Linked DNA regions of Mytilus edulis. The protein of the gene in region 2 purifies or fractionates together with the protein of the main gene of each other region. This does not show direct contact. Links are inferred from orthologs where the notes say so. Each region holds a gene or a part of one and is shown on either strand. Other genes may lie near its edges.

Evidence for each region. The genes of interacting proteins can lie anywhere in the genome.
Region 1: the proteins of AP-4 complex accessory subunit Tepsin-like (region 2) and iron-sulfur cluster assembly 1 homolog, mitochondrial-like purify together in Homo sapiens (co-immunoprecipitation; 3 studies listed by BioGRID and IntAct, with this or other methods). This does not show direct contact. The link is inferred for Mytilus edulis from reciprocal best matches to the Homo sapiens genes TEPSIN and ISCA1.

What each region holds. Positions count from the first base shown.
Region 1 is NC_092344.1:5,590,983-5,598,003, reverse strand, and holds the start of iron-sulfur cluster assembly 1 homolog, mitochondrial-like, read right to left. Parts: upstream 3,006-7,021; 5' UTR 2,906-3,005; coding exon 2,825-2,905; intron 1-2,824. UniProt on the Homo sapiens protein: Involved in the maturation of mitochondrial 4Fe-4S proteins functioning late in the iron-sulfur cluster assembly pathway. Probably involved in the binding of an intermediate of Fe/S cluster assembly.
Region 2 is NC_092352.1:20,602,286-20,610,230, reverse strand, and holds the start of AP-4 complex accessory subunit Tepsin-like, read right to left. Parts: upstream 3,002-7,945; 5' UTR 2,949-3,001; intron 2,898-2,948; exon of another isoform or gene 2,837-2,897; intron 1-2,836. Other genes in the region: cholecystokinin receptor type A-like, read left to right, coding at 6,844-7,878. UniProt on the Homo sapiens protein: Associates with the adapter-like complex 4 (AP-4) and may therefore play a role in vesicular trafficking of proteins at the trans-Golgi network.

The sequences.
Region 1 (7,021 bases), on a different chromosome or scaffold from region 2:
AATAAGAAAAATGAATTAACAAAGCTTGACACGCGTCGTTGATAAATATGTTAAATGGTCCGTGTTAAATGTGATAATCCATGATTAATCGCAATTAACAATTACTAATGTGCTATATACATTTTGAATTAATAAATTAATAGATAAATGCCACACCTCGGTGTTCAATAGAAAACAAATTCTATGTCAAAATTTTAAATATAAAATTACCAAATTGTAAATTTTATAAACATATTGTATTCCGTAACTTAATAAGAAAGATGAATTAACAAAGCTTGACACGCGTCGTTGAAAAATATGTTAAATTTGAAAATCCATGATTAATCGCAATTAACAATTAGTAATGTGCTATATATATACATTTTGAATTAATAAAGCCTGCCACGCCTCGGTGATAAATAGAAAACAAATTCAATGTCAAAATTTAAAATATAAAATTACCAAATTGTAAATTTTATAAACATATTGTGTATTCCGTAACTTAATAAGAATGATGAATTAACAACTTTTAAGCTTGACACGCGTCGTTGATAAATATGTTAAATGGGATAATCCATCACTTATCATAAATCGCAATTAACAATTAATTATGTGCTATAAACATTTTGAATTAACAAAGCCTGACACGCGTAGGTAATAAATAGATTTAACCGATTCAACAGATTAAGAAATTCAGCGCCTTATGTACGAAACAAAAGTTTACAAAAATTGTGCAAAGATGCAATATTTTTTTTAATATTAAAACATAAAATTACCAAATTAAGACGAAGTAAGCCAGATGAATAAGAGTAGGTAGACCCTACTTCTTCTTTCAAACAGGTCAAACAACAGAACGAGGAACAGCTGGATGTTACCAAGAAATCGATGTCTTGTAATGATAACTGTTGACAGTCATAGTGGTACCATGAATTGCAAAAGAGGGACGAAAGATACCAAAGGGACAGTCAAACTCATAAATCTAAAACAAACTGACAACGCCATGGCTAAAAATGAAAAAGACAAACAGAAAAACAATAGTACACATGACACAACATAGAAAACTAAAGAATAAACAACACGAACCCCACCAAAAACTAGGGGTGATCTCAGGTGCTCCGGAAGGGTAAGCAGATCCTGCTCCACATGCGGCACCCGTCGTGTTGCTTATGTGATTACAAATCCGGTAAATAGTCTAATTCGGTAGGTCAAATTCATGAAAGGGAAGGGGATTGTAGTTACGACGTGCGGAACATATCCGATATCATTTGTGAAATGCAAGAGTCACACTGTACTGAGTTCTTGGAGCAGTTCTGTCTGCAGTCACCACAGGGCCAGAAAATCGACCTTTTTAGGTACGAGATTTTGCGTTTTGGCATTTTGACTTTACTGATTAACTTTGAAACTTTATAATAGATTTAGAAAGATTTTTGGAAATTATTTCTTGTTCTATCAATATATACCCTTTGATCAATATCTTTCAATTTTGGAGCCAATCGAAAAGTGGACCAATGATATTAACAGGAAATAAAATATTGTCCAATTATTTTTATCGGAAGTAAAAGATGATCCAATAACATTTACAGGAAGAAATTGTGATTCCAGTACTTTATGGTTTCACGTTTCCATTGTCTAACCCAAGATTTGAGACGTCGCTAACAGAACAAAAATGTGAAATGACTTCATTGGGGACATTGCTAAAAAAACAAAAAGTTATGTAGGACTTCTTTTAAATTTCCATTTCTTTTGACAGCGTGGTTGAATTATAGAAGCCATCCGTTCTTTTCAATTTTTGACAACCTCATTAGTGGGGTTGTGTTTGTTAAATTACTCTTAATAATGACCATAATATAGACTTTTGTTTTACTAGTATTATTCAAAACAAAAATGAATTATAAAATTATATAAGTATGTAAAAAACATGACCCATTCAAAAGATATTGCATGATAATTGATTAAAATCGTACTACAGGAACTTTATGCATTTCAAATAAAATTTAAATATATATATAATAATAAATCAGTCAAAGTCCTCGATCTCTTTCCGTCGGTTAGATTTTGATATTTGTCTCTTGTCTTATTTTTGGTATAACTATTTTATATAAGAAGAAGAAAGAAATGAATAAAATATATATGAGGTATTGATGACGGTGGTTTGCGAAGTTGTCATGTTATAGACTTTCCTTTCCTGTTCGGCGTGTTCAATGTAGATATATTTGATATTTTAAACTTTAATTTAATATGATTTGTTGCATTAATAACTGAAATAATATATATTAAGGTCACAATTAATACAATTAAACAAAAAAAAGAAAAAAAAATGCGCTGTTTAGCGATATGTGGTTTGCAATCGGTGATGAAATTTAGATTTACCGTCTAATTAATATTAGTTCATTCATTTTTTTTAAGTTATTTTAATGTTATGTTGTATATTTAAGTTGTTTTGTTGTTTGTTTTTGTGTTCTGTGGTATATTTTTAGTGTTCTGTGGTATATTTTTAGTGTTCTGTGGTATTCTGTGGTATTCTGTGGTGTTCTGTGGTAAAAAGACGCTCCGTCGTATTCGTAGCTAGCAGAATGAGCATAATTGTTTAATAATAATATATCATTTTTTTAATATCAAATAGCTACTAGCTTTTCGTCGGTTCTCTTCCACAGGTTAGACCTGCCGTATAGTACTATATTATATTCTGAACGTTTATATTATTGTCATTATGGCAAACGTGTGTTGCGTAATTTGTTTTCGTCTGAAATGACCTTCATACGCAGTCATGCTTACCTTAAAAAATTACGACTTTCTAATAGATTATCAAATATTTGAACACAATGCATAAGTTTGAACTACATACCATGACAATTGGTGCTCTGGTTGGCAACATTCGTGTTCTAGTTACTGCTCGGACCGTGGCTCCCACGGCTCGAGAGGCCATTTTCTTTGTTTACGCCGGCTGGTTTTCCTTTGACACAATAATTTCTAAAATCCCTTACGTCTATCATATTTTAAGGTACCAGTCTTATTTTGAGATATAACTGAAGTTCATAAAAGATTCAAATAAGTAAGGATTAGAACGGTCGGAAAACATAACTATTTCACTTTAATAATAATACTTAATATTTTATTCTATAAAATATCAAGCACATGAATTATTACAATACTAAATATATACGATATTTTCCTACATACCTTTATATGTGCACTCGTCTCAGAAAAGATTTTCCTATATACCTTTATACAACGGTATATAGGGAAAAACATTCGGATACGAGTGACTGTGTCCTTAATCCTGTTTTTTATGATAAAATGTTTACAGTATAATATCCATTGTATTTTAGAATATAGTACAAATATCTTAAAATAAGGCACACAATATTTTTTTAAATTCAATCATGATATAATTTTTTTTTATCATACTGAGTAAAATCAGATATCATATCAAGATGAAAGGAAAGAGATGTTTTAGATTTTAAGCATTGACTATTGTTTTGATATTTTAACAAGTTGCCAAATTCAAATTCATCTAATATGTAAACCCAAGCTGCTTTTTTAACATCATAAACTGCCTATGCAAATTATACCCATATAATCATCTATTATTTTTATAATTTTATTGACATGCATAAGATACACACATCATCGTCACATGTATTTCCAATGAGGTCCCTTCTTACTGGTCCAGTTATTCATAGGGACCCAAGACACTCCAAATCGTTTGAAACAAAGTCTCTAACGTTACAGTCTACTTCTACTGGAAAATATCATGTTCCCCAATTCTTCTCTTGGACGTCTGTTACCAATTCCTGGTACTTCGTAAGCTTTCTCTCATGGGATTCTTCCAGTCTTGTTCCCCGTGACACTTCTCTACCAGAATGAATAACCTGTCTGTTGATTCTGGACCACAGCACATGCTGGTCAGAGTGTTGTTGTTAAAATCTCTCTTGGGAAGGTGGCCTTTCCCCAACGTCAGATTGCATCTCCCAGTCATTTGCTGTTGCTAGGATACCATTGGCTTTGCTATACCGTATGTGTTTCTAGATGACTCTCCACCTCTTTTGACGAAGTTGGTGAACTTAAGCCCCTTCTCTATCTAAATCTTCTTCCTCCTCTGTGTGTCCTGAGTGTATGTCCAAGACTGCTTCTATCTTTCGAAGGACTTGATCATGGCGCCATGTATATCTACCATCCTTCAGAGTTGTCCCACAGGACGAGAAAACATGTTCTAAGTTTGCTCGCTTACCGCGCAACTTAGTTTATTTTCGATCTAGTTTGAATTTCCCTTTGGTAATGTTTGGTATCTTCCGCCCCTCTTTTACAACTAGGATCTTCAATCTGTTTCCACATAGAAAGGTGCGTGGGTGTTAGTAGTACGTCGTATAGTGATCTTAGTAGGAAGCTTATTTATGTTGTGTCTTCTGTACTATCATTTTTCTGTTTGTCTTTTTCTTTCTAGCCATGGCGTTGTCAGTTTATTTTTGATCTAGGAGTTTGAATGTCCCTTTAGTATCATTCGTACCTCTTTTATCATCTGTCCGTCCATTCTCCACATCTCATGCAAACATATCTTTTTGGTCTTCCCATTTCATATGTTGCCCTTTTTGTTTCATACTGACGGCACTTGCCATAATAGTTGCTGAATGTAGCCAACACCAAGTCGTCCTCGCCCGATGTTACCACTCCCACTATGTCTCTGTCACTCTGTGTCTAAATCGGCTCTCTACATCTTCTATAGCACTCTTGGTCACCCATTTCCTTCCTATCCTAACATCAACATTTGCCTCTAAGTCTTTCACCTTGTCATCTTTAATGTATCTTAGCATCATAACTTGTCTGGTTTTGGTGACTTTAATAAACTTCTCTAATAGAAGACAGTGGTAGTTGAAGTTTTGAACTGGTGCTGTACAAACCATTGCTGCTAAAACTCTTTGGAACTCCAAACCATTTGCGTAAGTTGTTGAACATCCTTTCTAAACTTTCAACTTTGGTTAGAGGTACTTCGTACATCAACAGAGGCCATGTGATCCTTGGTAATATTTCATACTTACCCAATATTTTGACTGTTTTCTCCATAAAAGAGGGACGAAAGATACCAAAGGGACAGTCAAACTCATAAATCTAAAACAAACTGACAACGCCATGGCTAAAAATGAAAACGACAAATAAACAACAGCACACATTACACAACATAGAAAACTAAAGAATAAACAACACGAACCCCACCTAAAAACTAAGGGTGATCTCATGTGCTCCGGAAGGGTAAGCAGATCCTGCTCCATATGAGGCACCCGTTATGTTGCTTATGTGTTAACAAATCCGGTAAATAGTCTAATTCGGTAGGTCACAATCATGAAAGGGAAGGGGATTGTAGTTACGACGTAAGGAACATATCCAATATCATTTGTGAAACGGTTATTCCATAACGGTCAACCAACTCGTGATGGCGTCCGTAAAATTTACAAAGGGATGATTTCAACTTCACCATTTGGAACTCTTGGATTAATGGCTTCCTTGTGAACAGCAACCCTCTATCAAGAAAATCATGATAGGAAACGCAAGCACGGGAATATCGTATCAATTGGTAGGTATAAACCCCGTATGCAGGTGCTGCTAGAATGTTGCTACTTAGAAATGGAAAGTTCACAATTGGAAAGCTGAAATCATCTCTTTTGTCGTAAAGTTTTGTTTTCAACCGACCTTCATTGTCAATTTCTAGATGAAAGTCAAGATATGAGGCCGACTTAACTGCATCTGTCGTATCCTTTATCTCTAGTTCGATGGGATAAATACATCCAACATAGCCACCAAATTTGGAATTATTTAGTGAGAGAACATCATCTATATAGCGGAAAGTAGAGTTAAAGGATGTTGCCAACTTCTTATCTTTCTTCCTAAGAAGTTCCTACATGAAGTCAGCCTAATAATAATAAAGAAACAAGTCGGAAAGTAGAGGGGCACAGTTTGTTCCCATTGGAATGCCGACAGTCTGATGAAAAACACGTCCTCCGAACGTAACAAATTTGTTGTCAATCAAGAAATCAAGCATATTGATAATATCAGTTTCAGAGAATTTTTTGTTTGAAGCAGAGTGATTCTTTACAAAGTAGGATTTGTCTCTCCCTAAAACAAGATACTTGTATCAACGATGGCCATTCTTTTTTATGAAGCAAAGCAATACCAACTCTTTCAATTTATCTGTTAGTTTGGAATGTGGAATACTTGCACATGTGTAAAGAGTAGAAAAGTCAAATGTTTTAATACTGTTACAAGATGAAATAGAGTTAGATTGTATGTACTCTAAAAGATCTTTGAAATTTTTAAGTATCCACATTTGATTCACGACCCCTCTAGAATAGGCAGATTCACAATAACTTTGAAGCCCGTCTTTGATTGCTGATAAAATAGATGTTAATAATTTAGAAAGAGGTTTCGTGGAGCACTTGGAAGACCCAGCTATATACCGTGGTTTGTAAGGACACTTATGTAGTTTAGGTATCCAATACAGTGATGGAAGATCCAGTTCTTCATCTTTGGTTGAAATTCCAAAGGAACACAGAACAGACCTATGATTATAGTTGAAATGATGTATCCTCCAATTCGGATCTTTCTGTCCTGTACCGTTTCTTTCTTTAACAATAGACTCCTTGACTTTGAAGGCTTGAAGTTCATGCGTGCCCAGTCTATAAACTCACATAAATCTTACAGTATCCACTTAGCTACCAGAACTGACTTTGCTGTTATTTTATCATGCCATCCATAAATACTCTTGTTGGTGGCCGACTGACCCCAGATGACATTACGGACCCTCTGTTCATCTGATCTGCTGATTCTACTAGTAGATCCATTGCTGCTGCGAATAGAACTATCGATATGGTACATCTTGTAACAATTGCCACTTCTTGTCTCTGCCACGCTGTTGTGTAGTCTGCAACTGTAAGCCTCATTATAAAGTTGTTGAAATAGTATAGTGCTGAAGCATTTGTCTACCCATAGCAGGTACTAGTATGTGGTATTTCTTCAAGGTTAAGTCTACTAGCTTGTGTGGTATACTTCC
Region 2 (7,945 bases):
GTCAATTTAGTGTCATTATGATCTCTAAATTCTAAAGTAGTGATTTACCGCGAAATGCAATGGCTGAGCATTGAATAGAACATTTCACCTAATTATTAGGGGAAAATCATTAAAGTATGGTATTTTTTATTTTTTATTCCTGCAAAATAAAATTAAAAAAATAAGATGAAATACTAGTTGCAGCTGAATTTTACGATAGATTTCATTCACAATACTAAAATTTACAAAGAAAAACGTATATTTGAGTTAGAACAAATACATTTTAAAATATTTCTAAAACACCCATATTAAGGGGAAGTTACTCTTCGTGATTTTAAATTTCAACTAACCAAACCCTGCAAATCGGCCGTAATTGCGTGACCTGACTGGCGGCCTGTTTTGAGAAGTTTCACTGAAACGCCGTTACGGGGACGAATCAACTTCGGGCCGATAATATATGGGGCGAGATTGACACATTGACGGAAACGGACTGGCATACGTCATCAAAATACGCTGGATAAACAAAATGGAGAATCACAACGCAAATGTTTTCAGATAAGTATTTTAATTTAACCTATAATAATTATAATAATTATAAAATGCAATTTGTTTAGGCACTATTATAATACATTTAGGATTAAAATCTCAGAAAACACCAGAGAGTTTTGACAGACAATTAATGTAAGGGAGCTACCATTTGATTTTTATGGGGGGGCTAGGATGAAAAATTGTGTCCTGCATTTTTTTTTAGTTGTAATCTCTGTCCTGCCTTTTTATTTTTCACTCTTTTCGGTCCTGCCTTTTTTTTTTTTTAGTTTATCCTGACTTTTTTTTACCTAAATTGTCATCCTGACTTTTTTTTTTTGCAAGTGTCTCATCCTGCCTTTTTTTTTACTCAAAATTCCTGTCCTGCCTATTTTTTTCAAATTTCATCCTAGCCCCCCCATAAAAATCAAATGGTAGCTCCCTAATGAATGTATGTGGTGTTGTCACATTCATGTACAAAGAGAAACTGTAGGTTAATAATGTGGAGTCAATAACTTTAAAAAAATGCACTACCACATTCTACTTTATAATGTAGAAATTAAATTAGGTGAACAAACTTGGTGAAAACTATAATCTTCAAGGGATAAAAAAGGGGGGGGGTCTTAATTTGCGTTTAGGCTTCCAATGTAAGATACAATACATCTGCAAAATCAATAATGTTTCTATTGAATTTATTGCTTCATAACCTCTTGAACAATTGATTCTTTGTGGATATTTTTGTACTTTTAGGGGATTAAATATGAGCTGCCAGCAATTATATGAAACAGATTTTATGCAGACAACATTTTAACACCTGTATTCAGCAATTCTAGTTGGAAGTATAGAGACAGCAAGTTTTAAATTACAGAAAGGAAGAGAAGTTTATATCTGACACATTAGTTTTAATATTATAGTTATTAAATCAGTTTTTGAGTGAGGTTTTATTAAGCTGACCATAGTCAATGTTTTTATTCTTAGGTTTTATTCCGTCATCATAACCATGCAGGCCATATTTTTTTCATGGATAGGATGTTAATATTATTATTTATTTAAATATTTGAATATGATCAGATAAACGATTAATGTGTTTAATCCATAATGCATGGCAATTAAAGCACCAATATTGAAAAAAAACAAAATATACTAATATTTGCATTGATTTTTTTAATGACATTCTGATAAGAATGATCTCATTTGTTTTTTCCCCACAGATCTTTGATATAAGTTAGCTCATTATCATGTCAAATGTACAATGTATGCTTATCATTAACTTTTAACATGTTTGAATTACCCACCTGGCCATTAAAGTCTACATTTAAGGTTTCAATTTGTGTTAAAATCATGAATTTTTATAATTTTATCTGTAAAGTCACTTTTATTGATCTACATGAATTTTAGATCCAATAGCCACCCATTTATAGTATGGATCCCAATTCCAACCTTATCAAGCAATACGGGATGCATGGTTGCATGGGTGTTTTACTATTTCAAAAAAATGTGATACATACATGTACTACAAACGGGTGGATATTGGATCAATACAGTGGCGGATCCAGAACTTTTCATAAGGAGGGGGCACTCCAGTCATGCTTCAGTGATTCCCTATATGATCAACCAAATTTTTCCAACGAATTCATATTTCACAGCTATCATGATTTAAAAATATTTTAAACTTAAATGTCTGTATTTGCTTTTGGTTTTCAAAAAACCTCTCAAGGACACTTATTTCAATATTCATGGTTAATCTCCAATATTCAACCATTCAATATTCATGGTTATTCTAGATTATTCAACCATTCAAATGACAATATTCAAGGTTATTCTAGAATATTCATCCATTCAATATTCATGGTTATTCTAGAACATTCAACCATTCAATATTCATGAAATATTCACATTCAAGGTTATTCTAGAGTATGTATTTAGCATTCAATATTGGGATAGATATATATTTTTCATTCATGGTGATTCTAGAATATTCTATCATGCATTATTCAAAGACATCCTATTTCATATTCATGAATATTCTATAGATAATTATTCATGTTAATTCTTGGTTATTCAGTTCATACAATATTCATGTATATTCAAGCTTATTCAGTTCAAACAATATTCATGTATATTCAAGGTGCCATTTAACATTCATGAATATTCATGAATATTCATGAACTGTTACCTTGAATATTCATGAACATTCATGAATATTATTCATGAATATTCATGAATTGTTCATGAATATTCATGAATTATTCAAGGTCAGGAAAGCAGGGATAGACTCTAATTTGAGAATAAAGGTATTATCTGTCACTAAAAAGAGAAAGCATTTTTATACTACTGGTGCAATGTTTTATGTTGATATTTGTTCAAATAAAATCCTATAATGGTCTGATGACCAGAACCAAGGGTATTGAAATTATGATTTCCAACAAATAATATTTATTTACCTTTTCTTTTTGGTTTTTGGTCATATTAAATCTTTATCAAACAACCGCTTGTTTTAATGGTTTATTCAAAAACCATAACAAATTTATAAGAATGCAAAGCTCTACTATTATCCTATTTCGCGTTTTTTTACTTTCAATCCTAAATTTTTTTTTAATCGGATAAGCTTTAAGTTTTGTGTTAACCAGTAAAATCAAAATGTTTAAAGGGTCCGATGTGTAATGTTAGCTTTTTAATAGTATGTTTTCATACAGATGATTCAAAAAAGTGTACTGAAAGTATATACTACCAGAGTCTCTGATACTACCGGGGCTCACCGTTTTGTTTTGGTGTGCAAAGTAACATAAAATGCAGGGAAAAACCGAATACTTATCTGTAGTATGATTAATCAGGGATAATGAGAGCATATACAAAGTAGAGGCTCCAAGAAGCCTGATTAGCTCACCTGTCAAATTTGCATCAAATTGATAAAATGCTTATCAAAAATAAGGAGAGATGTGAAAGGATTTCCGTTGATAAAGCTATTCACAAGAGTTCCAGTCATGGATAAAGGCGATGCACAAAAATACTAAAAATGAGTACACATCATCAAGCAAGGACAATAACTCCTTTAAAAAAATCAGCTAACAATTCTGGTCAATTTTGCAGTTTCTTTCAATTCTACTAATTAAAGTTTCGGTTAAAATTTAAAAAAAGGTTAAAAATTTGCTTTTAAGCGAAATATATAACCTCTCCTGGGGGTCAAATGACGATTTTGGCCATGCAAATATCATTTTTATGCCTGATTACAATTTCCCCTTTATTTGTTATCGTTTTGAAGATACTAGTCAAACTCGAAATAAAAAAGAAGGTGAAAATGGTCATTTCAGCGCAATAATGCCTTATCAAATGTTGTCTTGACAGTTTGGTCTAAATGAATGTTATACCGATCTTGACATTCTGAACATGCGTGTCCTGTATGCCGAGGATTTATTTTCTTAAGCGATATTAGTTTACAAGATAACTTATAGACAATACATCAATTATATCCTATCTCCCTTTATAACCTTGGCAGGTTGTCGTGAATCATTAGACACATTTTTAAAGAGAAATATCATAAGGATGATTGTGGTCAAGTTTGTTCAATCTTGCTCAGTAGTTTCAGATGTGATGGGGAAAAGCTTGCAAATATCAATTTGGCAAGTTGAGCTTACAAGAGAAGGACGAACTAGAAAGAAAGAAAGAAAGAAAGAAAGAAAGAAAGAAAGAAAGAAAAAAAGAAAGAAAGAAAGAAAGAAAGAAAGGAAGAAAGGCAGCAATATTTATCAACAATGACTACAATCAAGTGATGCGGATGCAAAAAAATGAAAGATCTGATGATAAACACTAAAAGACAGACGGAAACAACAGAGAGTAACATTTTCTACAGATTATTTGAGGTTCAATAACCAGTGATGTCACCTTCAAAACCAACAAGCCAAATAAACCAAAAAAGATAACAAACCCAAAATCCAGCATCCATGCACCGACCAATAAAGAAAACCCCATTTTAAATCAGTTACTCAGTTAATCAGACCCGCTGTAGACTGAACATTCTTTTATAGTTGAATATAACATATGAGTTTTTTTTATTGTTGCATGCCGTATGGTTCTCACACGAAACCCATACAGATGCAGATACAGAGGCGGGGTTAGGGGCAAAGGGGACCCTCTTTTGTGGAAAAGTTTTTAAAAGTGTTTTTTTCTTAAGTCTAAGAATTCAATAAGATATATTGCAACTTAAAGCGAAATAACTCCCTTTTATGTGAATTTCATACCTTTATGTCTTGATTTCATGATTATAATTTATTCATAGAAGTATAAATTCTACATATACATTTACCCTAATGCACATGTACTTTCGATGTGCTTACACAATTACAATGCCTTCTAAATCCCGAATTCCACAAGGTTTAGTTTTGTGTATGTCGTAGGACAAGTCAGCAAACTGTTCCTCATCCCCTAAAAACCAGGTTCAATAATATAGTAGTAATAAGAAGCGACAAACAGTTGAACAAACAGCTATAGTGGTTTAAAAACATTGTATTATAAAAATATAAAGTATAAACAACTTATGACTGGAGGGAAATGATGAAGACGTTTACTGCATGGACAATCACATGGTGAATTAATTCAATTTCTGATAAAAGATGTATACACACTTGGTATTCAATAGCTCCAGGCCCGTGTCTTATACAAATTAATAAAATATTTCATTCTGATGTCCAGTCCTATAAAGTGTAAAGACTCTTTCATTTCGATCATTAAAATAAATGCGCCATCAAAAAAGTTAAAGTCTGTTCTAATTTCTAATTAAAATATATACTTAGTAAAGAATTGAAGTATATATATATTTCTGAAAAAAATTATAAAAAGTGCTCTAAATGGTACGTGTTGATTTAAATATTTATTTATTATAATATTTTGATTGTTGTATGCTGAACAGTCAGTGGCCCAGAAATAAATACAGGGCGAGAACAAAAAATATCAAACAAGAACAATACCGTGTTTGTGCCTGTTTTGAATCGGGGTTCTTGGAAGAACATATTCCTGTGCCAAAAAATCCTACGTGGACAAATTTATTCTTTGTTATAGTTGTAACCAATCAAAATGCATAAATATATAAAAATAAGAAGATGTGGTATGATTGCCAATGTGACAACTCACCTTGAACGGAGCCCGTACCGCATGGTAAAAAATGGAAAACAAGACGTTTAATAGTTTCATGCGTCCGAAAATGATAGAGGGACGTGACTGACTATTTAACTATAGAAGGGATTTCACTCTCTTTTTTTTCCTTGTCACTTTTTAGAAGTTTGCCTGTTCCACTTTTCAGAGCGCTCCTTCATTACGTATGTACATTTTCAATCTATGTGGAACGATCAATCACTGTGCACAGTTTGAATAATGTTGATGACAATTCGTGAAGATGGAGGTGAAACACTTGGAACCCTCTATAATACCCATAACAACAATGATTAAGTTCTATACAAGGCAAACACAAAAATCTGCCAAAGATTTGATATCCACTACTGACGGACTGAATTGAGTCAAAGTTTAATTAAGCATGTTTTCACATCTGATGGCCAAGGTTACAATAAATACAATGAAGTATAAAGATAAGAAGATGTGGTTTAATTGACAATAAGACAACTCCTTCACCAGAGACAGAATTGTCACCATACTGCCTTCAAAATTGAACAAAACCCATACCGCATAGGTTCTGATTCGTTTCTGTCCCGATACTTTTTCTAAAGATGCACTTTGGTTCCAATTTAACATTGCTGTAAATTATTTCCTGTTTACTAATAGACAGTAGCAATAGTTATCTTAATTTACCAAAATGTCAAGAGGACATACTTTTCCTGTTTAATCTACCATCTCTATTTAACCTAATCAGGGTAGAAAAATATATAGGATTAATAAATCTCATAAATATATGTAATAATTTCATTATGAGGGATTTCCATGTCAGGTCAATTTGTGATAGCCAGTTCATTCTGCTTAACTATTAATACAAATTACTACAAAATGACCTATCTGCGCTTATTAACCTAGAAAGGACTATGAGAATATTATGTTATTTTGTCGAGTAATGATATTTAATGCTCTTTAATCACAGCAGTAGCTGGTTATAATCACCCTAAGGTTTCTTTAATTTTACGCTACATGGTCAAGATTTAACAATTTAGACGAAAAGTATTTAAATTCACATTTTATACATACTCAATACTTATAAATACTACCTACATTTCAATTCCAACGTCAGATGACCAAGTTTATACAACATTATTTTATATGAAATGAGGCATTTCCTTCCTTTCTGTCTGAGTGGTATTTTATAACATTTTGTGGATTTTTCTTTGGAATATTCTGAACATGGATTCTAATTATAATCTAACTCTACAGTGGAATCAAGATTATTACGACAAACTACTTCCGAGTGTTTTTCTTCAAGGTGTAATTTTTCTGCTTGGATTTATTGGAAACATAATTGTTCTCATGGTATATTTCTTTCGAATGAAAGCAAATCGAGACGACCGCTATTTCATTCCGATCTTGGCAGTTTTTGATCTAATATCCGGCACAGTTGCATCTGTGTTTTATGTATTGGAATCTATATATTTTGTGGATTTTCCATCCACAGGACTCTGTAAAGGTCTTCTTTTTGCAATGACAAGCACTTCCAGTTTATCGGCATTGCTTCTTATAGCCATTGCTGTTCAAAGATATTTGAAAATATGTAAGCCGCTAGGAGAACAAATGGACGAAGCAAAACGAAAAATATGTCTGGCTGTTATCGTTATATTTTCTATTGTTAATTCGTGTCCTGTTTTACTCTTTTCTGGAAACAAATATATCGAAGGAGAATTCAATGGCTTGAACGTTACCGGATGGACGTGTTTTACTGGCTCTGGGCAATACCCAGACTATGAAGCAATTTATTATTACATTATATTCTTTTTAATGGTTGCAAACATACTTACTATTTCATTTCTCTATATCCCTATTGGACTTCAGCTATATCGACATATAAAACTAAAGGATTTACGACGACCAAGCATGGACATTGCTTCTACACAATTTGAATCTATATCGGAAACCAAACCAAGCGATGGAAGCACAGGCGAAATAACTCGCAAGAAAACTATGCACGCAAGCAAAATCAATTTCAACAGCATGTTTTTGACTATTATTATATTTTATCTCGTTTCTTACACACCAACTTGTGTTTTTCTAATCATAAGTAAATTAAACCACAAACTTTGGTACAATATTTCTACAACAGAGATGATAATCTACTTTATTTTACAAAGATTTTATGTGATAAATCACGTGGTTAATCCGTTGATATACGGATATTATGACTTGAAATTTCGCAAAGAGGTTGTCAGTCTTTTTCGTTGCTCATGATTCTTTGTGCATACCGTCTTTTTTTTTTTGTATATTTGTGTATTCTCAGGCTTAGAAAACATTATTA